6 linked regions of the Neurospora crassa OR74A genome follow. The main gene of each other region encodes a partner of the protein of the gene in region 4 in a complex. Links are inferred from orthologs where the notes say so. Each region holds a gene or a part of one and is shown on either strand. Other genes may lie near its edges.

Region 1 (3,576 bases), on a different chromosome or scaffold from region 4:
GAGCAAGGACATGATTTCCTGGTTCCCGATTTTCTTCCCTCTTAGGGTGAGTTTTTATCTCTTCTTCCTTCATTTCTTGTTTTTCTTGACTTTTCGCTCCTCGCTCCTGCTTTGGTGACGATTACTGACCCTGTTTCTTCGACGATACATAGCAACCCCTCTACTTCCCTCAGGACACCGAGCTAGAAGTCAGCATGTGGCGCCAGACCGACGACACCAGGGTGTGGTACGAGTGGATGGTTGAAGTGTATGCTTGGGTGGGTCCCAAGACCCGTATCAAGGTTGGCGCTTCTGAGATGCATAGCAGTCGTAAGGTTGCCTGCATTTTTGGTTAGAAGAGAGGAAATGTAAAAACGGAGGTAACTAGGTACCAGTAGGTGGTGGGCAAGGCTGGCTAGGTCGGGTGTTAGGAGTGTGTAAGTATGCAGCTGTAACAAACGCTGCGAGGAAAAGGTCAAAAGTCTTGTTTTAGCGAAAGAATAAAAGATTCGAAGTCAAATGGTGGATAGAATGTTCATAATTGGGAAGGCGCGCGATGTGTATGATGATGGTGACTGTCTTTGCCTGTAGTCGTGTGATGTATAGGCAAGTGGAAGTTGAGACTAACAGAAATTCACGCCGCTCGTTCTCTTTTTCTTTCAGTTGAAATAATACCTGGAAACCAGACGCCATGTCCGCATGTCTAACTCAACCCGCCACTTCCTTTTCTTTGCTCAGTACCTAGATGATGTGTGGTCTTGACAGATTTTTGTTTCTTTCTTTCCTGTTAAGCTGAGTATTGTTCCAACATCTTATTTTAGCCTTTATCTTCAAGGAAAGGCCAGATGGCACATGCTCCTTTGACGGTCTTGCGCAGGAGATGCAACGAAGGTCTCTACCAGACAGAGAGACGCTCGGTACCCATCCATCCATCCATCCACCGTTCACTCTCTCTTGAAGCAAATCCGCCCTTCCGTACCACTCTCCACACCATGCGCGCCCGATATCATCAAAGCTGTTGTCGCACCTTTCGTGAAGCGCACACTTTCATCATTGGGAAACGAGTTTTCGGCGAGCGGGTGCGTTGTGGTTTGTGCTTCGGTTCGGCTCGGTTTGGTTTGGTCGGTAGAGTAGATCCATCTCTTCTTCTTCTTCTTTTTTCCTCCCAGGGTATTATAGTCGGAACATCACGACCCTCCCTCCTCACACATTCCTCCTGTCTGTTCTGCAAATCGCGCCCTTCACCACCCTGCCCGCTAGTCTAGGCTACCCTTTCATTTCCTCCTCCTGGTGGCGAGAGAACTTTCACTCTTCCATCTTGACGTCGCCACTTGTTTCCGCCTCGTCGGCCTTCTTGATGTAGAGAACGTTGTTACACCTATTGTTGAAGTCCATAATGTCAGCATCCCGGCTAGTTGATACGAGATGGGGGATTGGGTCGTCCGTATGGAAAGCCGTAGCAGTGGGATGTATTCAGTATGGACGTACCTGATCAGAACCTGCCCCAAGGCGCCCGTAAACTTGCGGTTGATGTACTCCTTTGTGTCGCTGAGCTGAATGTTCATGTAGCTATCGATGCTCTGTTGTTCACATGCACACACGCATTTCGTCAGCCTCTCTCTCTTTGTTCTTCCTTCGTTGCTCCTTGGTCCTGCCTGCTGGTTTCCCCCTCCCCTCCCCTCCCCATCGCTTCCCACAGCTGTGTATGCCAAGACCAAAGTCCAGCGGCAAAGGGAAGGCTAGATTGGAAGAAAGATGCTGGATATGTATATATATACGTACAACAAGACGGCCAACATACTCCGTCTCTCCCCACTTCAAGCGGATCGTCACAAAGCTGTTGACGAGATCTTGAAGGAAGGGACGGGGGTTAACTGGGACAAAAGACATGTTGTCGGTTTCGGTTCGAAGGGTTGGTTCTTGGTCAAGTGCGTGGCGCCTTGTGTGTGTATTCACAGGCTTGCTGTTGTTGTTGTTGTTGTTGTCGTCGATGGGACGGCTCGAAAGTTGGATTCGCGATTCGGCTTGGTGCTAATGGAATTTTGTATTTGTCGGTTTTCTTAGATGTGTAAGAGTGGGTTGTGGTCGGGTGGACGCAACAAGGTCGAGGTTATGGTTATGAAAAGTTGGGAAGAGAGATGGGATTGGCGTTGATGCTATGATGGAAGAAGCTCCAACTGGGACTGTGCCTCCAATGCTGGACCTTTGCGGCGTTGGAGTAGCGCGACGATGGAAGTTCCTCTGTTACGAGGGACATGTGGAGCCCTAACGCGATAGCTGATTGGACGTGGCAATAAGCCTGTCTGATTAGTAGATTACAGGGTTAGGGTTGGTGGCTAGAGGATACTTGATGTTGTTGACAGCGACGATGATGAGCATCACCAAGACCTTTATGGCGATCCTTTTGCTTATCATTACTCAGGTACATAGCTTAGTGTATTCTTTCACTTCTTCACTCAAGTTTACCTGGTGACATCTCTCCCTGATTATTTCCGATGCCCACTTACACCTTCAGGTCAAGACCCTCGAAGACGCCGATGTTTTGAAACGAAATGGAAGGGGACTGTTCAGGACCTGACAGGAAGTCATTTTGAATTAATAAAGTCCCATACTGGGTGAAGATATTTTACTCAATCTCCTCAATCCTAGGTCTACCGCCGAACATCTCAACACCGCCACTACTTCCACCACTATCATCACCACCATGGGAAACCGACCTCTCCGGGTCGACAACCAACCCAGCCAGCTTCGTTAACCCACCACCACCGAACCCTCCTCCTCTTGCCTGGCTCAACGACACTTCATCCACCAAGCTATTCGTCTTCCAATTCTCCAAGCTCTCCAGCACATCCCGACAATACTCCCTGACCAACCCATCCTCGTCCGTCTGCTCCACATACCCCAAAATCGTCCTCAGCTGCTCCTGCGTCTCACTCCCAAACGCAATCCCCAACACCCTCCCCTCGTGCTTCGCCTCGTCCATGGCCTTGATAAAGCTCATAATCAGCCTCACCGCCGCCCTCCTGAGTATCCCCTTCTCCAGCTGCCGCTCTACCTGCACAACATTAATGCACAGATCCACGCTCGCCATCGTCAACACCGCCGCGACACCAACAATATTCGTCTCGATGCAATTCGCCAGAATTGACAACGCAGAGGCACGGATCCTTACATCCTCTTCACCCGTTTTGGAAGTACCAGACGACCACCCTTCTACAATCGCCTCCAAGATATCAAGCCTAGCCTGCTCCTCAGCAGAAATCGGATCCGCCATATCCGGCACGCTGCCGTCCCACGCGTCTTCGGCTTCTTTATGCTTCTGTTCCCGCGCCTTAGCCTCGCGCGCTTGGCGCGCCATGGTCTTGGGCCGATGCCCCCGGCGCGATGCCAGGCTGATCAGGGCTTCGCATGTCATCTTGGCTAGGTCGCCGGTGAAGGTCTGGCCCAGTCGGTCGACGACTTGGAGTAGGGCCTCGCCGAAGCGGAGGCGGGCGTCGACGGTCGCCAGGGCGGATTCGCGCGGGTCCAGGTAGCGGTCGATCAGGTCGGTGAGGACGGCGCGCGGGTGGGCGTTGGCTAGTTGGGTGTAGAGCTTGA
Region 2 (3,299 bases), on a different chromosome or scaffold from region 4:
TCGTCTCCCCCTTTCGTCCCGGATCGGTAGATGTCCTAGTCTTCAACCCGCCCTACGTCCCTACGCCTGACTTGCCTGCGCCGCCACCGACAGGGTTGCAGGCACTGAAGGAGAAAACGACGTTTGAGGAAGACTCACATCTCTTGGAGTTGACGTATGCTGGAGGGAGGGATGGGATGGAGACGACGGATAGACTGATTGAGGCCTTGCCGGGGGTGTTGAGCGAGAGGGGGGTGGCGTATATTCTGCTTTGTGCGCAGAATAAGCCGGAGGAGGTCAAAGGGAGGATCAGGGTGATGGGTGGTGAAGGGAAGTGGAAGGCAGAGACGGTGGGGACTAGTGGGAGGCAGGCGGGTTGGGAGAAGTTGCAGATTGTGAGGGTTTGGAGGTGAATGGAGGGATGAGATGCTGGTGATGAGTTGAGGATGGGGAGGAAGCTGTTGAAGAGGGTGGAAGAGGGGGAAGGACGATGGTCAGTCACGTACAAGGCTCGAAAATTCTGGGGGAAATTTGGTATAGAGAGTTGCTGATTGTGCCGCCTTCTCCAGTAGGCATATATCGCCGTCTATCTGTTTTGTGATACATAAAATAGTTCATTCCGGTGGCGGTTGGGCGCGCCTTTCTCTCTCTCCCTTCCCGCTAGCAAAGTGATTTTATCCTGTCCAGAACGCCGCAACGAAATCCCAATGCTTGCCCTCTGCTCCGATCCGATGAGGGGGAGTGGTGTTTATGTGTGTAACACTCGATGCGAATGAGGTGAATCTCGAGTGTCGCTCAAGTGAAGATCTGGGATATGCTCCTCGATTTTCTGAAGCGCACTCATCGTCGATTTTGTCGTGTCGTCGCCACCGGACGTTATTTCGGGCCGGCCTTGATCTTCCCTACCAAGACGGTCAAGCCGGTCGACCGAAGGGGGCATAAAAAACCGAAAAAAATCCACCATTAACCGTAGTATAGCATCGTATCGTCTTTGAAAAAAAATCTAATTCGCACGTTTCTGTCGTCCAGGGAGACGTACGCCGTGGCCGATCCCAAAGAAACGAGATCCGCTTAGCCACGGCCACGACCGCGGCCGCGACCCATTCCCCTTCCTCTGCCACGGCCACCACGGCCACCTCTGCCGCCGGCGCTGCGGTCCGCTTCCTTTCTCGCCTTGTTCTTGGGCTTCACGGAATCATCAACTAGCAATGTATCGAGCGGCAAAGAATCGGGGAGTATGAAGTAACGGATGGTCGAGCCCCTGTAGGGTTTCAATAGTTAGTGATGCCCTCGAAAACTGAAAAGGGCCACTCCCCCTTAGTTGAAAGGGTTGATTTACCTAATGTTCATGGCATCTAGAGCCACAGCGTCCTGGCCCTTGGGGGTCATCTTGACGTTGCGAAGCGCAGTGTCCATGCGGGGTGTGACCGAGGCGATAGTGCCGTGTACAATTGTGCCGTTCTTCAACTCAATCGTCACCGTCTCGTTGGCGCATTTCATCAAAAATCTGCAGTGTTGAAGTAACGGATTCCACTTCGTCAGCCTGGTGCCCTTGGTGTTCTTTTTCTAGTAGAGCAGCATGGACGCGCGCGAACACGGGCTGGCAGCCTTGAAGGCGAGGACTCAAAGCTCAGCATGCGTCGTGCAAGAGAATAGGAATGAAGTCGGGTGGGATGGGGTATCGGGTACATGTAGCGAAGTATCAGAAAGCAAGGAGAAATCTTACCTGACCAGCTTCATCTTGACTTATTTGGACAACGCGTAATCGAATATGTGTTGTATGGAATTGGTGGTGACAAGGTCTCGATTACCAGCTTGTTACTTTGTCAATCAACAGTCGCGACGGGAGAAGGCTTGTCGAGCTTCCTTGGACGCTTGCACAACCATCCAAGCGTCAGGGTGGAGCAGATAGCCTGCCGTCGCTACGCGCCAAGATAGAGCCCGTGCTCAATCACGTGAGCCGAGCTGAACAGGCAAACGGCGGCTTGAAAGCCCCTAACCCTGGAAGTCATGGGTTTCAAGCTATCCATAAATTGCCTGCCCTGCACATGATCTGTTCATGTGCTGAGTTGAAGCAACCAGATAATTGGGGTACACGAAGATGGGCTGGCTAACTGCCACGCCGAACAACAAGGTGTTGTTTACTATGACTTTGTCTCTGAAGCTATAGCTGTAGTTGCACAGATCATGATGCCTCATGGCAGGATAAGGACTATGAAACGAACATAGGGCTTACAGCCTTCAACTGCCTCTCCTTTCATCCAATGAAGAACGAAAACAGGGTGGATGTGTAAATGCCATCGTCGCTCAACTCCAACACGAAAGCGGACCATGACACTATTTACAGGATGCCATGGTAACTTCGCTAACACGACATTCGCTTGTACGTTCTGCGTGTGGTCGGTCCCCGCTCAATCGCCAGGATATTCACTTGTCCTTTTCGTTCTCGTTCTCCGAAACCTTCTCCCACTCATCTTCCGTGCTGACGCCGCTCTTAGTGCCCAGGCTCGGTGTCTCCTCAACCACTCTGTGCTTCAGTTCTCCAATCTGCTGGATAGGCTCAACCTCATGGCTGACCGCCTCTGCAATTGACTCCTGCCTCGTGAGGCTAGCTGTCGATGTAGCTGCCTCTACTTCTGTTTCGCTGTCTTCCGATGTGACTGGAGTTGGCGCTGCTTCTTTGGCTCTTCTCGCCTTTTCCTCTTCTTGGATTTGGTGCACCTTCAGTTCCGCCGCGAACCAGTTGATGGATCCCCAGAGTCCACCGCAGAGAGCCGAGAGAATTACGAAGTGGATACTCCATGTCGCAAAGAGGAGGCACGCCAGGACAATTTGCAGAGCGGCAAATGTGACATTTGTCGCGATAAGGAGGGTGGGAGTCGGCCCCGGAGTGAAGATCGACTCCCAGAGATTTGTAACGAAGGATGTCATTGGGAAGATTAGGCTGGCGCTATGTCGGCGTTGAAAAGTTTGACCGTGAAGGTATGTCGTGTAGAGGAAAATTCTTGTTGTCGATTCGTGTTCAGGACGATGCGCCGTGGAAGCGATGCGGACAAACGAAGAGACAAACTCGCAGTAAAGTCAATGGTTCGTAGTGGATGACTACAGTCGAAGAGAGGGTTAGTCACGGCCTCACAACCTTTATAAATGACGAGGGACAGAAGGCAGGGGACGGATGAGGATGTGCAGCCCAACCAGACAAAGCCCGTAGGGCCGAAGAGCTGGTCACCCGCCGAGAGGACAGGGCCATGGATACCAGATCACAAGACACGGTTGCTCTTCAACTACTGACCTATTCTAGTTGTATAATTTGGCCTTTG
Region 3 (4,259 bases), on a different chromosome or scaffold from region 4:
TCGCGATCCAGCAACAGCGCCTTCTCGAACCAGTTCTGCGCCCGGTCCAGCTTCCTTTCCGCCCACAGAATTCTCGCGGCCGTGACCAGCAGGATCGGATCGTCTTCCACCTTTTTCACCGCCTCGGCAAGCAGCGATTTCCGCTGCGTGCGCGGCTCGAGGTTGAGGATCCTTTCCGCCCACAGCAAGCCCGATTTGGGCATCTGCTGTAACGCTTGCGCCATGAGCGACTTGGCCTGGTTCAAGTTGCCCGCGCGCCGCTCGACGCGGATGAGTTCCGTCCATAGCTCCGGGGACTTGGGCACGGCTTGTCGGGCGCGGTCGAGGACCGAGCGCGCCTTGACGACATTGTTGGCCTTTTCTTCTAAACGAGAGTACAGAAGCCAGAGCGGGATGGACGAAGGGACGGCGCGCACGCCGGTGCTGTAGGCTTCCCGCGCAGGACCAAGTTGGCCGAGGTCTTCGTAGATTTGGCCCTTCATCATCCAGAGTTTGGGCTTGGAAGGGAAGAGCTGTAGGGCCTGTTGGACGAGATCCAAAGCGGCCTCGTTGACGCCTTGTTGACGCTCAAACGCCACGGAGCGCATCCACACGCGATCGGTGGGCGCATTCTGGCGCGCGGTCTTGAGGAGTTCGCGGGCTTTGTCGATGAAACCGTTGTCGGCTTCGAGCTTGACGGCCGCCAGCCAGATGTCCTCGCTGTCCGGGTTCTGCTTGAAGGCGCGGGCAAGGACGAGGCGTGCCTCGTCGACGCCCGCCTCGGCGGCTTTCTCGCGCGCGAGCATGAGCCAGAAGACTTCGTAGTGCGGACAGGCCTCGACGGCCTTTTCGAGCGCGTGCCAGAGGTCTTCCTTGCTGCCGTGGTTGCGCTCCAGGTCGATGGCGGCCGTGTAGAGCGATTTGCTGTTGGGGAAGACGCGGATGGCGTAGGCGTAGATGGCGCGCGCTGTGGCGAACTTGTCCCGGTTGATGGAGGCGCGCGCGTCTTCCATCCAGAGCTCCTTGCGGTCATCGTCCTCGTCGAGACCCCAGCCAAGCGTCTCTTCGATGATGTTGCTGCAAGTGATGACGGCGCCTTCCTCTTCGCACTTTTCTGCTTCGGCGATCCATTCCTCGCGCTTGGGCATGGCGTTCTGCTTGGCGAGGAACTTGACGGCGTTCTTCATCACGGGCCGCTTCTTGCCTTCGCCTAGTTGTTCTTCCAGGCGAGCGGCGGCGATCCAGAGTTCGTGCGAGTTGGGAAGCTTCTTGACGGCCTTGTTGAGAACCTTGCGGGCGTTTTCGGGAGTCTCGAGACGGGCCAGTGCCAACCAGAGGTCGAGCGACTCCGGGATAAGCTCCGTCGCCTTGGCTAGTAGAATGCGGGCGTCTTCGACGTCCTCCTCGAGGTTGACAGCCTCCTTCCATAGCGCCTCGGACTCTTGGTTATGATCGAGAGCTCTCCGGATAACCTTCTTCTTTGATCTAGGGTCGTTTTCCAGCTTCATCGCTTCCACCCAAAGCTTGACCGAGTGTGGGTTGGCTTGAATAGCCTGTGCCGCAATGACCTTGGCGTTCCGGTTGTCGTTCAAATGAATGTTTTCCAGCCAAATATCCTCGCTCTTCGGGCAGTGTTCGCAGCCCTTGGCAATCAAGCTGCGGGCAGCACCAGGCTTTCCCGCCGCGATTTCCAATCTCGCTGCAGCAATCCAACTGGCTGCCTGTTTGGGGTTCGAGTCGACAGCCGACTTGAGCATCTTCCTGAACTGCTCAATGTCTCCAATGCTTTGTTCCGCACCCTGCATGCTCGACAGCGATGTCAGGTAGCCCTTGGGGTCGATACTCGTCGCGCTTCCCGCCGTGGCCACGCTACTCGACTGTGATTGCTGTTCCAAGCGCGCCCTCAGCACCTTGTCGCGAGCCGCACCGATCTTTGCGAAATCTGTAACTGTGCCATCCTTGTTGACCCCTTCGGTGGCGGTGCCGTCTTCTGCAACGGTGGTACCGAACTGGCCGGAATCTCGCGCGGCAGCGAGGACACTGTCGGGAACGGCGTAGAAGCGCTCCATGCGAGCCTGGCGTGCCCTCTTGGTCCTGCCGGTAAGGTCCTTGGGATCTGGTAGGTTTGCCCATTCTTCGTCGGTGACCGTCTCGAGCGCTCGTTTGAGGCCGGCGAATTGCTGTTGGATTTTGGGGTTCTTTCGTTCGTACTCTAATCGTTCGGCTTCTTCTCGTGCTTCCCTGTGAAAATGCGATTTCTTGTCGGTACTCTGCTTTTCATCTATCTTGACCGATAAACCACATGCTTGCTTGAAAGTGTTGGGGAAGGGGTAGAAGGGTGTTTTGTGAATTTATGTAGGATGTCAAGTGATGTATACGAGGTAATGACTAACCTTTGCTTCTGTCGCCGCTTCGCCATCCTGTCGTCTACCTCTTTCCATATCCGATCTGCCTCCTCGTCGTCCTTCTCGTATATGCCGCCGGCGAACAAGCCGACTTCGTTGTCGGGATCCTGATAGCGGCCATCGTCTTCATTGTCGTCGTCCTTGGCCTCGGTCAGACCTAGCTGTGCAGATCTCTTCGCGACGGCCGCCTTGATCTGGTCTTCACTAGGACCCTCGCGCGCGGGACCAAGATCGGATCGTGTAGTGAAACCCGTGGCACCACGACCGAGACCGGCGACGTAGTTCTCGGGTGCGGGTTGACTGAGGAAATCCCGTCTAGACATGGTGGCGGTTTTCTGTATTCGTGATGTATTGTAGAGACGCGGTGGCTAGGATTGTGACCGTGGTGGCCGTAGAGGTAGCTCCAAACATTTGAGTTAGCGGCAAAATACCGGCAGGCTGCAAGTCGAAGTGGAAGTCGAACTCCAGGGCACTGAAGCCTGCCTGCCACTGGTCCAGGCGCTCTTGGCATTTGACGAACGAATGGCAGGCACAGTGCCAAGTAAACAGTCTACGACTCCACCAGTGCTTGGCGGCTTAATTCCACTTTCGTTGTTTACTTCCTCCTATCATTCATCTACCTCCTTTCCCGTCTTCACCATCACCAGTCAGCGGAGCCATGATGGCCATAGAAGACAACTATGACGATATTTCAGCGCTCCTGCCGTCGGCAACTGAAATGGCCTGGCTCAGTGAGGCGTGAAGTGGGACAACTTCACCCAGATGCTCGTCTGCTCTTCGTGTTGCAGCATCACTAAGGGAAATGCATTATTCATCTATGGCAATGCCTGCGATCAGCCTAGCCAACAATGTCCAACTTCAACCTCCCATTTAAATTCTTTCTGTGCAGGTGCGGCAACTACAGCATTTATGCCTCGCACCATTCAACCTTCACGGTCAGGTTAACCGCAAAGGCGGCACCATGCAAGGCGAATATACTCCCTCACCGAGACTTCGTAACACAGGTTTTCCTGTTTACAATAAACATGCTGTACAACGGCACACGATGACTGAGCCTATGCCTTTTTATTCTGCAATGAATTTAGGCTGGGTTTAGCTCCTTGCCGGCCGTCTACCTAGGTATATTTATTCAGTACCACGTCCCTGATTGAGTATACAGCGGGATCCGAGTTCGCACAACTTGAACGTCTGTACACAAGGTGCTTCCAATCTGCATACACTGTCTCAAAGCACTCATGGCGACTGAAGGAAAGCTACTCCAGCGCCGCCCACTCGAACCACCAATGTGCAATTTCGAGACCCTCCTGTTGACTAAATCTCATAAGTATGGGCATCTAGCTCGCTTCTTCACCCTTTACTACCACTCACATATTCGGTCCAGACCTTCTTGCTCGTCCATCACAGGAGAGCTTGATGTGATAGTCATGGAGCCGCTGATCAAAAACCCGATGTCTTCTCATATCAAACACTCATCAAATGACTCCGCAGGTAAGATCTCTTGGAAACCAGGCGGCTTCAGACGTTTTCCCTGGTTTGGGATAATTCCGCTGATCTTTTGTATAAGCTGTGAGTACTCGTTCCTACGTTCACCACAACACTGAGGCTGTGACCAAGTACCGACAATGCTAACTGCAAGGACTAGGTACAGGAATTGCTATAGGAGTCGTTCTCGAGAGCGATGGTGGTTCGGAAAAGAACTGGTCCGGGCTCAGACAACCCGGTGTTTTGTTGGCGTACACATCGACTCTTGCAAACGCGTTGATGGGGCTTGCCTTTGCCCAAGCGGCCGTGATATTCTTCTGGGTCCAAGCAACAACGCCGCTACCAGTTGAGTTCCGGCATCTCTCGGCTGTCAGTCAGTATGATATATCAATT
Region 4 (3,008 bases):
GACAAGGTGATTTTGCGGCCTTCCGTGACCTCTTCGGGAAGTACTCGTAGGAAGTCCAAGATGCAGGCGTGGCTGGATACATCATCTCCGAGGGCGCTGACGACGGTCTGCAATACATCCTTCCAGGACTGCATCTGGATGGCTAGGATGGCCAGACACACGCATAGTTGGACTCGGACGGGCTTGGGGCCACTGGCGAACTTCTTGAGGAGGACTAGGATCTGGTTGCGAAGAGCAGCATGTTCACTTTCGGGAATTTGCGTTGCGAGGTCGTAGGTAATCTGAGAATCGTGAATGTCAGCGGTGCGCGACATACAAGCGTAGCGGTATCGTCGTGATCCAATGGGTATCTGTAAGTACCTTGCCCTTCAGTGTCGTTGCTGCGAAGAGTTGCGCCTCGGCTTCGGGAGAGCCCTGCAAGATCGATATTGTGGTAGTCCAGGCCTCGTTCTACGGTCGATTGAGAAATGCGGGTTAGTCACATGCGAACCATAGGTGTGTTGGCGTCGAAGGAGCTGAAAGCCCAACTGACCGACTTCTGAAACTTTTGCAGGTAGTCCATGGCGGCCTTCTTGGAACCGGAGTCACCACTCCGCATCGTCAGCATGGCCTGCAGGACATTTGGGGTGGTGAAGCCGTCTGTGGCGCCGTTGGAAGCCATGTTGGGCAGCTTCGGATTGTGTATGATGTGATTTAGCTCGAATACAAGTGTTGTGATGGCAAGTGTTGCGATGCGGTGTTGCAAGTGGAAGCTATCGCTGGGGTATCGCAGGTCGCAAAGTGGATGGATCAGCCCCTCCTATTCGACAGGAGTGTTGTCCGACTTATCGGTCTTGCGACGCGATGGAAGCTTTCAGGATATGTTGTTGTAAAGGCGAGGAGCTGCGATGCGCACGGGGTATATGAAGCTCCAGAGAGGTTGCAAGAATAAAGGACTGGGAGGTATTGTACGGTGCCGCCGTGGTGACAGGATTGCTGCAAGTTGGAGGTTGCCGGCGACGATTTGCTCTTGAGCGTCCAAAGAAACGACGATTGAAAAACATCCCGCCAACAATCGAAGAACGTCAGGCTGCCTGACACCGACCGACCGCGAGTGGAGTAAACGGCGGCGGGCAAGCGGGTCAAAGAAAGTGGAAGCACATCCTGCACCGCCATAAGTGGGACAAGCGGGAGGGGCTCATGCTACCCCAAACTGAAGATTCTGTGGCTTGAGAACCCAAGCAGCTCGGAAAAAGTGAATTGAGCTGAATGCCAAGAGGTTATGACACGACGCTGTGGGCCCAGCAGCATGTAACTAAGTGCACAGACCAGCTGAGCAGCTCCCGTCCCGTCCCCGGCGGGAGGTGCTTGTGAAAACAAGAGCTCCACACGCCAGAGACAGACAGGCAGGCAATTCGACATTCGGGGGAAATTCATTGAAGTCACGTCCCGGCCGTAGAGAGAACGCGTCTGGGAACAACTGCAAGCCAAGCCCAGCCGACCAACAACGACCATCCACAACTTGATTGCGACTTACTTGTTCAGCCTCCACATCACCATCAAACTTCTGTCCTAAACACCGGCCAAACGACCAAACCACAACAAACTTTTATTCTCAACATGACCGGCAGAGGTGGTGGCGGCAACCGCCGTGTTCTTCTTCCTCCCATCAACTTCCTCTTCCGTCTTTTGCAACAACACTCGACCGTCCAAATCTGGCTGTACGAGCAGCTTCACATTCGCATCATCGGCACCATTCGTGTAGGATTCTCCATCGTGACCTCCCCGAAGAGCAAACATAGGTGCTGACAATTCCGTCTTACAGGGCTTCGACGAGTTCATGAACCTGGTGGTGAGTAGCGGCGCATGTCCCACTAGCACTACGAGACCTAACCCCATTTCCACAGATCGACAATGCGATTGAGGTCAAGCTGGTCTCCAAGACAAACGAGACGGAGGAGAGGAGGGAGCTTGGGGTAAGAATATGTTTAGGGCTGGACGTCGATGTTGTTGTGGCAGTGGAAAGGGTGGCTAACTGGGTCGCAGCAAATCCTCCTGAAGGGCGACAATGTCTCGCTCATCCAGAGCTACTCCGGGTGAAGAGCTCCAAACCTGAAGGAGAAGCGGTAATCGACGATGCAATTTACGCTGGGACCTACATCGAGCGACGAGCCAGCAGATCTAAAGCTGTACATAGACGGCCCACAAAGATGTGGTGCGTGGCCTTCTACACAACAAACGACACCGAATCTACGAAAGAGATACCAGGGAAAAGCGATTGGCCGAGGCGCACAGGAATGTCGACTATATGTATTTGATCAAAGGAAGGCAGTACGGGATGGATATCAGGTCATGGAACTATTTGGGTGCAGGAGGGCTCTTAATCTCGCCATTTCCGAGTATCAGGCCGTCCAGAGGTTGATCGTGGCGACCAACAGGTACCGACCCCTCGGATGGAGAGGATAGAAACTGCTCAGACAGCGCTAAGCCATAAAGCAATACAGGGGTTTCCTGCTTCCCCAGCTCGACAGACTTTTGGTTGTGCCGGTTGATGAAGTAGTCGTAGAAGCCTTTGCCGTGTCCGAGCCGTCTGATGGCCCCAGCTTCCGGGTCAATGTCGAAGGCCACGCCGGGCATGAGGATCAAGTCAAGCAGGGTTTGGTCGGAGTGGTGGGCGTCGGGACCTCCAAACACCCTCTGCCGCTCATGGACCGTGGCCGGGTCGATGCTGGGAATGCCCCATCTGTCTGGCTTGAGGGACTCATAGTCGTGAAGATCTCTGAGGCGGACCATGTCCATGACGCGGGCTGGGAGGTTGGGCGAGGCCAGAGGGTTCTTGTGAAGATACGGGATGAAAACCTCCTTGCCGGACTCTAGAGCGTGCCTGACGATGCCATCGGTCTGGATCTCGCCCGTGGGCATGGACAGGAACACGCTGACCCGTTTGGCGTCTACGTAGGGCTTGAAGTTCCTCAGAGTGTTGAAGACCACAGAACCTGCAATTGCGGATTTAGTCTGCGCTGGCAGTA
Region 5 (3,756 bases), on a different chromosome or scaffold from region 4:
TTCCCAAATAAGCGAATCCTCCCCGTGTCGCCCTTCAGACAGCTTTGAGCGGGTTGATGCGCATGGGGACTTGAGCTGCCCGGATGCTGTGAGTTGAGGGTATTGTGAATGACGTCTCTCGCGATAAATACCGGCTGGGGATAAAACCACTTGAAAATGCAGAAATGCGAGAAACGAAGAAGTCAAAGGTTCGAAAACGGACCAACGCTACAAGTTCCCGGTGATGGCGTCTGCTGCCATTGTTTTATCGCCCTTTATCAGAAAGCCAAGCTTCGCACGATGGACCGTGCGTCACCATTTCCCAGGGTGCCAGGGTGACTTTACCAACGCCAACCAACGCGAGCGGCAGGTGTCCCGCCCAACCCTGCCCGCGTCACTGCAGAAAAGAAGGGAGAAGGAATCTCAACAGGCCCACTTTCGCGGTCAGGTGACACCCCTTATCCTTACCGGGTCAGTGAAACGCAACCACAAGGCAACTCAGACGCATGTACCAAAGGCAGCTTGTTATGGGCACCCAGTTGTGGTTGTTGATCTACAAATTGAGACGGCTTCTATGCAATCTATCTGCCGATACTGTCTCTCGTGGAGCGGTAAGCCAAGCCCTGGCCTGTCGCTTGCTGAACGCCCTCCTTGGTGTGTTGCTCCTATGCGAGAGGCAACGACAAGATTCTTGTCGCGCACATGATTGATGTCTGCTCAGGAATCATACAAGCTCCTGGAGTCGTTTCTTCCCCAAAGTTTGACCGTCCGGTCATGGCCACCGCTTACAATCCATTTTCCATCCCGGCTAACGTCAACACTCGCAACAGGCCCTGTGTGGCCGCTGAGAGACTGAACCAAGGCCCAGTCGTCAGCGGAAAATATGTTCACCTTGTGGTCAAAGCCTGCCGACACCATAAAGGTGCCGGATTTTTTGGGAATTTGCATTCCCTTTTCATCTTCGCCAGGAGGCACTCCTTCCAACGGGTCATCCAACCCCTTGAACCACCGCACGTCGGCCACTGCACTTGTATGGGCACCAATGCCTCCAATTCTTTCCACTTTTCTAACGTCCCAGCATTTGATCCAACCATCAGCAGACGCCGTGAGCACCCTGTAACCGTCCGAGCCCCAGTCCAAACCATAAATAGGCTTGATATGGCCGTCCTGATGCCCATCTAGAATCATGGCAGTCCGTCCTGTCCGCAGATCCCAGATTCTTCCGATACTGTCCAAACCCGCGCTAGCGAGTAGCGATCCGTCACTGTTATAACTGACAGCGTATACACCGCGAGAGTGACCTTCCTGGAGAAGGAGCTCGGTGCCGGTTTCAACATCCCACATCCTCCATGACGTGTCTTCTGAGGCAGAAGCCAGATACTTGCCCGATGGATGGAACTCTACACGACATACTCGTTGCGAGTGTCCTGAGAGAGTTCTCAAAGGCGTGTCTTGGTTCAAAGACCAGAGATGAATCTGGCCTTCCGCTCCTCCGGAAGCGAGATTGACTGTGTCGGGAGAAACATTGCGCTCCGGCAGTGTAGCTCCAGGCATCCAGCATAGGCCGCTGACTTTGTTGGTGTGGCCCCTCAAAGTCTTCCTTGGCTCAAGGGTTGGGATTTCGATGAGTTTGACCTGTCCGCCCCAATTGCCAGTTGCGACCATGTTTCCATCAGGCGAGATCCTTGTCATGCTGATGTGCCGCTCTCCTGCCGTTTGACTGCCTTGCAATTCAAACCCTTGAAGCTTCTCCTTGATCTCTTTTCGGTGTTTGACATGTGTCCGCAGTGGGATGGTGGACTCCTTCTTCTGGAACTCGATGCGCTTCTTAGCTCTCGGGATTGAGTAGTGAGCGATGTCGATGCGGGCCTGGAGCAGTTCCGGGCTTCCAGTAGTGTAAAATTCCTCCTCTTGGTCGCCGGCTTCATCTTCCTCGTTTTCGGCGTCCCGCATCTCCACATCGGCACTTTCCTGACCTCCCTTTTCGGCTTGTTGTGTCATGAGTTCTCGTAATCTGTCGCGTCTGTCTGCCGGACCCTCGCCGAAGAGGGTGACAGGCTCGCCCATCTCTCGCAATTTGGCTCGTACCCGGCCATCGTCGGTAGGAACAGCAATCGAAGCCGCTAATCGTTTTCGTTCAAACTGCGATAGAAGAACGGAGGCCTTCTCTGGGGCAATACCAGCCCCAGCACCGGGGATGTCGTAGTCGCGATCGAGGGCTAACACGCAAATCAGTCATGGGTTGGAAGCCATACAAGAGTTTTGGGGACTTACGGACGGAGTCTAGATCCATGCCTCCGCGATCCTGCTTCAGGGGGGGTCAGTCCGGGCTCTGTTTGCAATGTTGAGCAGGTGCCTTCAATGATGCGAGGGGCGCATATAGAGCATGGTCTTACCTCAGGCTCGGCCTCCTCCACGTAGGCTCTACGCGCCGGATGCATAGTGCTAAACTTTCGGTGTTTGTTCGTTTGCTAAATCTTCTGGACACTTGAACGCGAGTAAAGCCAGGTGATTCGAGTCCGGCTTGTGGTTGCTAAAGGACCGTTTGATGTGAGGGCTCGATGTTTTGCTTGCTGTCGTGAAATAGCAGGTGATGCAATCACAGGGAAGTTTACAATGCTGGCGCCGTTGCTGTTGCGGGAGCTCCACTAAAATTTCCGGCGCATCTTCGACCCTAACCCTCAACAAGCTGTCCCACCTGAATGCGCTCATCTCGGTCCTAGCACCACGGGCACCTCGTCTTAAGGTGAACCAACGAATCGCCATGAAGCTTTCACCGATCATTCAAAGAGGTACTTGAAATTTCAAAGTTTCATGTGATATGTGATAGATTCCTTGTTGGTGTCAACATTCGTTAATACCCACTTCGCACACGGTAGGTTTGGTCCGAGGTGACATGGAAGCGCGATCACAAACGGTGCGGCCAGTTCCCCCTTCCCAGCCCGTCGATCAATGCGGTTTAATGACCGCCAATCGAGCCCCGGCTGTTCGGATTCCCCAGACTTGTCAAAACTGAAGATCGGGGTCGGCATCCAGCGGCCTTGGTACACTACACTACCTATACACACATGACACCTGCCGTGTGGTATTGGAGGTTCATTTCTGGACATGGAGAGCAACATGGGGCTTTTTTCAGGTTGAAAGCTAGTGTGGAAAAAGCCTGGAAAATGGCCGATGGTGCATTCCCTTTAATGCGGGTGAGACGTATGTCTGATGTCTCTCACCCGATTTTCACGTGCTCTCGCCAATTCCTCCTGGGACATGGAACGCCCGCCAATTCCTCCTTTTCCTTTAAGTTCACCAGACCAATCCAGCTGGTCTTTCCGCCCTTTCAGTTGCTCGCCTGCCCGGCCTGCCCGGCCTGCCCAGACCGTGACGCATGATGTGAACGCTTTTCTCTTTATCGTGGTTGGCTCAATGGCGGGATATTTGGGTGAGGCGGACGCGGCCCCCTGCCCGGCTAGTGCATTCCAGTCCCTAGGGGTACTAAATTGTGCATAGGTAATACCCAAGGTCACAAACCCGGTCCAGGCCCATCCTAATTCACTGCAGGTGCAGAGTCCGGGCTCCATTTTATTTTAACTTCTGCTGCCCACGGAACTCCATTTCATTGTTGCCATTGTCGACCTCTCTCTTCGCACGCTCCCCCAGTCACAACTCTCTTCTTTTTTCTCTTTTCTGTTTTTTTTCTCTTTCTCTCTCTCCTTCTTGACAGTAAAAACCACATCTCATCGAGCCTTTCCACCCTCAATGCATATCGAGAAGACCGTCGACGAC
Region 6 (3,794 bases), on a different chromosome or scaffold from region 4:
TGCTACTACTGCTGCTACTACGGAATCAGAGACCAAGGGAAATTGGCCTGCGCATATCCCCTTCACAAGAAACTATCTACTAGCGGAAACTGTTCCGGCCCTGCAAGCACTGGCGCAGAAGCTCGTGCTACAGTCATCAACATTAGCGGGAGCCACCACGGCACTCGGCGGCATGTCCTGGCTCTCTGGATTCGGAATATATGAGTGTGGAGCCGTCGCCGCCTTGGGTATTGTTTTGAGTTTGAGGGGCTTGCAGAAAAGGTGGGAGAGGGCGAGAGATTTCTGGGAGGGCGAGGTTCGTGAGGAAGGACGCAAGGCTATTCGCGCAACCGAAGCCAGCATTGCCGAGGTGCTGGATAGCGTTTCTCCTGAAGTTCCCGAGGATGTGGCGGTTGAGATTGAGGAGCTGAAGGAGGCCAAGAGTGTCCTCAAGCGGGCCGAGGAAGCGCTTGCGAGGCTGAAGTAGAAATGATGGGTTGCAACAGATGTTTAGAAGGACATTCTGCAAACCGAACTTGGTCAGTTTCGGACTTCTTGTGCTTATTATTTTCCACAGCCCTCTCGCCCTGCCTGTTAGTCCCTTAGGTGGGTGTTTTGACAATATGCCCTCTCCAACTCAACCCTTAAACAGCCAGTTGTATATTTAGTCTACACGATTCACTCTCACTCAGAGCATTGTTGCAAGCTCGTCTTATGCGAGCCTCACATATAGGGACAGGCGGGTTAGAACCGGCGGACGCAACAGATCAACCAGGGCTACACTCTTATGTACCATTAAAAAAGCAAGCCGAAGTGGGAGTAAAAAGGGGGCATCGGACTTTTGTGGTAGATATCAAAAACTGTCAGCGTAGGCTGAAGATGGAATGGGTTGTGTGTACAACAACATAATAGACAAAGACGTTGAATACGTACCCTGTCTATATCAGAACCAGGGCTAGTAGGAGTTTCGCTTTCGGTGCGATTCGATCCATGCTGTATGTGCTCGCTCCTTGGCCAAGGACTCAACTGGGGGGAGACCTGAGGCTGGCTGAACACCTGGTTCGCTCTGGCTGCTAACCGTGATGAAGCCAGGTTTTCGTTGCGTGCTGACGGACGGGTAGCGGCTGTTGCATCGACCGACCATTATCGTCCAGCTGGCGGAGCGTGAAAACCCCTGGATACGCCACGCTTCTCCCATGATCATCATTTGGCAGCAGATGGATGAGCGGGGCCAGCTGGCGTCCTCCATATCACTCCTCATCGAGGCTCTCAACCCTCCAATCCCAGCCCCAGCACTCACTCCAGTCCCTTCTCATCTCTGGCCGGCCTTGAGCCACCCTCCTCCCTATCCCTCCTGTTCCTCCTTCTCTGGGCATCCAAAGCTTGCCCCCCACACTTTTCTCTTTCCATCCAACTCGCTGCCCCCCATTTTCGGTAGAAAGAAGATCAAAGTTTGCTTTATTGGTTCCCCCCACCCAAAACGCCTAAAATATCAAAATAGCGGTTGTCGTTGCGCGCGGAAAAAAAAAAGGAGCCATAATATGCCGATTATTGTGCCCCAATATTGCATTCCGTTGTGAAATTTTCAATGATTCTCGGTCTGGGTCTGGTCTTGGTCGATGAGTCTGACGACAGGCGGCGCTCGCTGTCTTCTATCTGGCGCCGCCACGACCACCGGCGCGCGCCCTACTGACTGTCGCACGACCGCGGGCGAGACCGACACCGCGGCCGCGGACGTTGCGGGAGCGGAACATGGGGGCGTTTCTGTATGGGAACACAAAAAAAAGAGGAGGAGGAAATGATTAGCTTGGGTCCTATCCGACTTATTGGGTAGGTAGGGGGCAACTGGGGAGAAGAATCGCAACGGATGAGTTGGTGGTGGCCTGGTTTGAACGTACCTCAACATATCCGGCACAATAAAGAATCGCACATGACTGCCGCGGATGTAGACTTGTTCGAGATGGCTGACGCGCCCGTCGCGGGCTGTGACGGTGATGTCCTTGAGTTGGACGTTCATGTTGTCCTCGGCTGTTTTGCGGGGGAGCGCATTGGTTAGCATGGCTGGCCAGTTTAGAGGAGTGAATGGGAATGAAGAGTTCATGGGGGTTAGCAGTACCTTCGATAAGCTTGCCACGGTAGGTCTGGCCGGAGGTGATCTCGAGAGTGACGATATGGCCCTGTGGGACAGGAGTGGTTGGTTAGCTTTTGGCAGCACTACAGTCTGTGCATAGCAATGGTGTTTACTTACCTGAGCCTCATTGAGGAGCTTGATGGGGATACCAATTGTGGAAGTCATGTTGGCGGCTGTGTTATTACGTGGTGAGGTTGGTTGGCGATGTGGAGGGGCGAACTGATCTTTCTTGGTGTTGGTTTTAGAGATTACCTAGATGGTATGCCGTAAGTACAGGCGACTTGGTTCGCGATGATAGTGGATGCGATCAGTTGCCTTTGACGTGAACGCGGCAGCCCTGTCAGCCCGGTGCTGCTGGGAATTTCGTCGGAGAGCTTAGTTGATCTTGTCAGCTGCAAGACAGCTGCCAGATCTCACGGTACGTACCGCGCATTGAGGTCCTACACTACAAGGAAGTGTGGAGGCTTCCCCACACGCCTCTTCTGCGCTGTCCCCACATTCAGTGAACTGGTGGTCTTCGGTCATCCAAAACCTCGTCATCGTCACTGACATAAACCTTCTTTCTTCAACCCATTGGCAGTAAGTGGAATTTACCGGCCTGCTGTCATACGCTTGTACTCAATCAAAGTATGAACTGTCTGGTTCAGCACCCCGAACGCCGTTATCGCTCAACTTTCCTGGCTCATGTTCCGAGTCGTCGCATGATGGCGGCCGTCACGGGGATGGGATTGTCCAACGCATTGAACACAGCATCCCCAACCTTTTTCTCAATGAGGCCTTCTTCGATGTTCTATACGCTGAATTATGTGAGGTCCTTCGGTTCTCAATTCACCCTTGTCCCCGAATATTGGACAGTCACTCCCCTCCCGCTTTGCCCCATACCACCAGCCAACCGTTGACGAGCAACTCCCACATTCTCGACGGCCTCGTCTAGCCATTGCCTATCAGCCAAGGACGGGACGTGATACAGGACAGAAAACGCCCCTCGACGTTCTCCAGACTTCCTCGCGCCCCGAGAGATGCCGTACCCGGGTCCTTCTGCATCATGCTACTACATACATGCCTCCATCCTCGCTCCCTGTCGGCCACGACCACGGCTTGCACGGCTACGTAGTCCAGCGAGTAAGGGGCCATCTGGCCTTGTCCCATTTTCAAAACGCAGTGACGGGCTGGCCAAGTGGGCCGCCGGCCAATTGCTGTGTTGTCAGCTTGATGCCCAAACCCTATGATCAAACCCCACGAACCGCCCCGGCACCGCTGAATGGGCGAGGCAACTAACCGTCTCAACCTCGAGCTGCGGCAGGTGGGTTTGGCGTGGACTGATCTTCCATAGCACTGGCTGTTATAGGCTGCATGCATGTGCATCGAGAGACCATGATCTGTGTGCGTCTGCTCCTCCGTCTTGGTTGCTCCGAGTTCTCGGTCTTTTCTCTCCACCTTCTTTGTTATCTCGCTGTGTGAGCTGGATCGTGTGGTGATGGTGCGGTACTAGCAAGCTTTGACAAGCTCGACGGCAGCTCCGGTTGCATCCCACCTCCCACCATCATGTCCTCGTCTTTGCCCTGATTGGACGTCTCACCACTCTCCAGGAGGTGTCTGCCAACTTCTAGCGCTGGACGCTACATGACATCTCAGTTCCGAGTGGAAGATCTCTGGTCTGGTCACTCCATCAGTTCCGGTAATT

The links.
Region 1: NCU06354 (region 4) and NCU01614 share a complex: the UniProt entries of both Saccharomyces cerevisiae proteins name them as parts of the sm core complex. The link is inferred for Neurospora crassa OR74A from reciprocal best matches to the Saccharomyces cerevisiae genes SME1 and SMX3.
Region 2: NCU06354 (region 4) and NCU00505 share a complex: the UniProt entries of both Saccharomyces cerevisiae proteins name them as parts of the sm core complex. The link is inferred for Neurospora crassa OR74A from reciprocal best matches to the Saccharomyces cerevisiae genes SME1 and SMD1.
Region 3: NCU06354 (region 4) and NCU04606 share a complex: the UniProt entries of both Saccharomyces cerevisiae proteins name them as parts of the U4/U6-U5 tri-snRNP complex. The link is inferred for Neurospora crassa OR74A from reciprocal best matches to the Saccharomyces cerevisiae genes SME1 and PRP6.
Region 5: NCU06354 (region 4) and NCU11251 share a complex: the UniProt entries of both Saccharomyces cerevisiae proteins name them as parts of the U4/U6-U5 tri-snRNP complex. The link is inferred for Neurospora crassa OR74A from reciprocal best matches to the Saccharomyces cerevisiae genes SME1 and PRP4.
Region 6: NCU06354 (region 4) and NCU03625 share a complex: the UniProt entries of both Saccharomyces cerevisiae proteins name them as parts of the sm core complex. The link is inferred for Neurospora crassa OR74A from reciprocal best matches to the Saccharomyces cerevisiae genes SME1 and SMD3.

The regions. Positions count from the first base shown.
Region 1 is NC_026502.1:2,951,576-2,955,151, reverse strand, and holds NCU01614 (hypothetical protein), read right to left. Parts: upstream 2,181-3,576; 5' UTR 1,870-2,180; coding exon 1,762-1,869; intron 1,560-1,761; coding exon 1,468-1,559; intron 1,358-1,467; coding exon 1,285-1,357; 3' UTR 501-1,284; downstream 1-500. Other genes in the region: pp-2 (protein arginine N-methyltransferase HSL7), read left to right, coding at 1-46, 153-335; NCU01615 (hypothetical protein), read right to left, coding at 2,606-3,576. UniProt on the Saccharomyces cerevisiae protein: Plays a role in pre-mRNA splicing as a core component of the spliceosomal U1, U2, U4 and U5 small nuclear ribonucleoproteins (snRNPs), the building blocks of the spliceosome.
Region 2 is NC_026501.1:8,193,054-8,196,352, reverse strand, and holds NCU00505 (small nuclear ribonucleoprotein Sm D1), read right to left. Parts: upstream 1,847-3,299; 5' UTR 1,720-1,846; coding exon 1,706-1,719; intron 1,588-1,705; exon of another isoform or gene 1,487-1,587; coding exon 1,319-1,486; intron 1,241-1,318; coding exon 1,051-1,240; 3' UTR 501-1,050; downstream 1-500. Other genes in the region: NCU00504 (hypothetical protein), read left to right, coding at 1-392; pkr1 (ER membrane protein), read right to left, coding at 2,407-2,910. UniProt on the Saccharomyces cerevisiae protein: lays a role in pre-mRNA splicing as a core component of the spliceosomal U1, U2, U4 and U5 small nuclear ribonucleoproteins (snRNPs), the building blocks of the spliceosome. Also binds telomerase RNA and is required for its accumulation.
Region 3 is NC_026505.1:1,527,808-1,532,066, reverse strand, and holds the start of NCU04606 (pre-mRNA splicing factor), read right to left. Parts: upstream 2,801-4,259; 5' UTR 2,708-2,800; coding exon 2,373-2,707; intron 2,261-2,372; exon of another isoform or gene 2,221-2,260; coding exon 1-2,220. UniProt on the Saccharomyces cerevisiae protein: Participates in pre-mRNA splicing. Part of the U4/U5/U6 tri-snRNP complex, one of the building blocks of the spliceosome.
Region 4 is NC_026504.1:2,807,020-2,810,027, forward strand, and holds NCU06354 (small nuclear ribonucleoprotein E), read left to right. Parts: upstream 1-1,430; 5' UTR 1,431-1,599; coding exon 1,600-1,740; intron 1,741-1,804; coding exon 1,805-1,831; intron 1,832-1,886; coding exon 1,887-1,955; intron 1,956-2,025; coding exon 2,026-2,079; 3' UTR 2,080-2,337; downstream 2,338-3,008. Other genes in the region: NCU06355 (karyopherin), read right to left, coding at 1-281, 361-450, 533-661; NCU06353 (hypothetical protein), read right to left, coding at 2,338-2,975. UniProt on the Saccharomyces cerevisiae protein: Involved in pre-mRNA splicing. Binds and is required for the stability of snRNA U1, U2, U4 and U5 which contain a highly conserved structural motif called the Sm binding site. Involved in cap modification.
Region 5 is NC_026501.1:4,871,908-4,875,663, forward strand, and holds NCU11251 (pre-mRNA splicing factor), read right to left. Parts: upstream 2,578-3,756; 5' UTR 2,421-2,577; coding exon 2,376-2,420; intron 2,312-2,375; exon of another isoform or gene 2,288-2,311; coding exon 2,254-2,287; intron 2,199-2,253; coding exon 697-2,198; 3' UTR 501-696; downstream 1-500. UniProt on the Saccharomyces cerevisiae protein: Involved in RNA splicing. Is required for the association of U4/U6 snRNP with U5 snRNP in an early step of spliceosome assembly.
Region 6 is NC_026505.1:1,887,150-1,890,943, forward strand, and holds NCU03625 (small nuclear ribonucleoprotein Sm D3), read right to left. Parts: upstream 2,460-3,794; 5' UTR 2,276-2,459; coding exon 2,228-2,275; intron 2,157-2,227; coding exon 2,096-2,156; intron 2,008-2,095; coding exon 1,878-2,007; intron 1,744-1,877; coding exon 1,632-1,743; 3' UTR 501-1,631; downstream 1-500. Other genes in the region: NCU03624 (hypothetical protein), read left to right, coding at 1-466. UniProt on the Saccharomyces cerevisiae protein: Plays a role in pre-mRNA splicing as a core component of the spliceosomal U1, U2, U4 and U5 small nuclear ribonucleoproteins (snRNPs), the building blocks of the spliceosome. Also binds telomerase RNA and is required for its accumulation.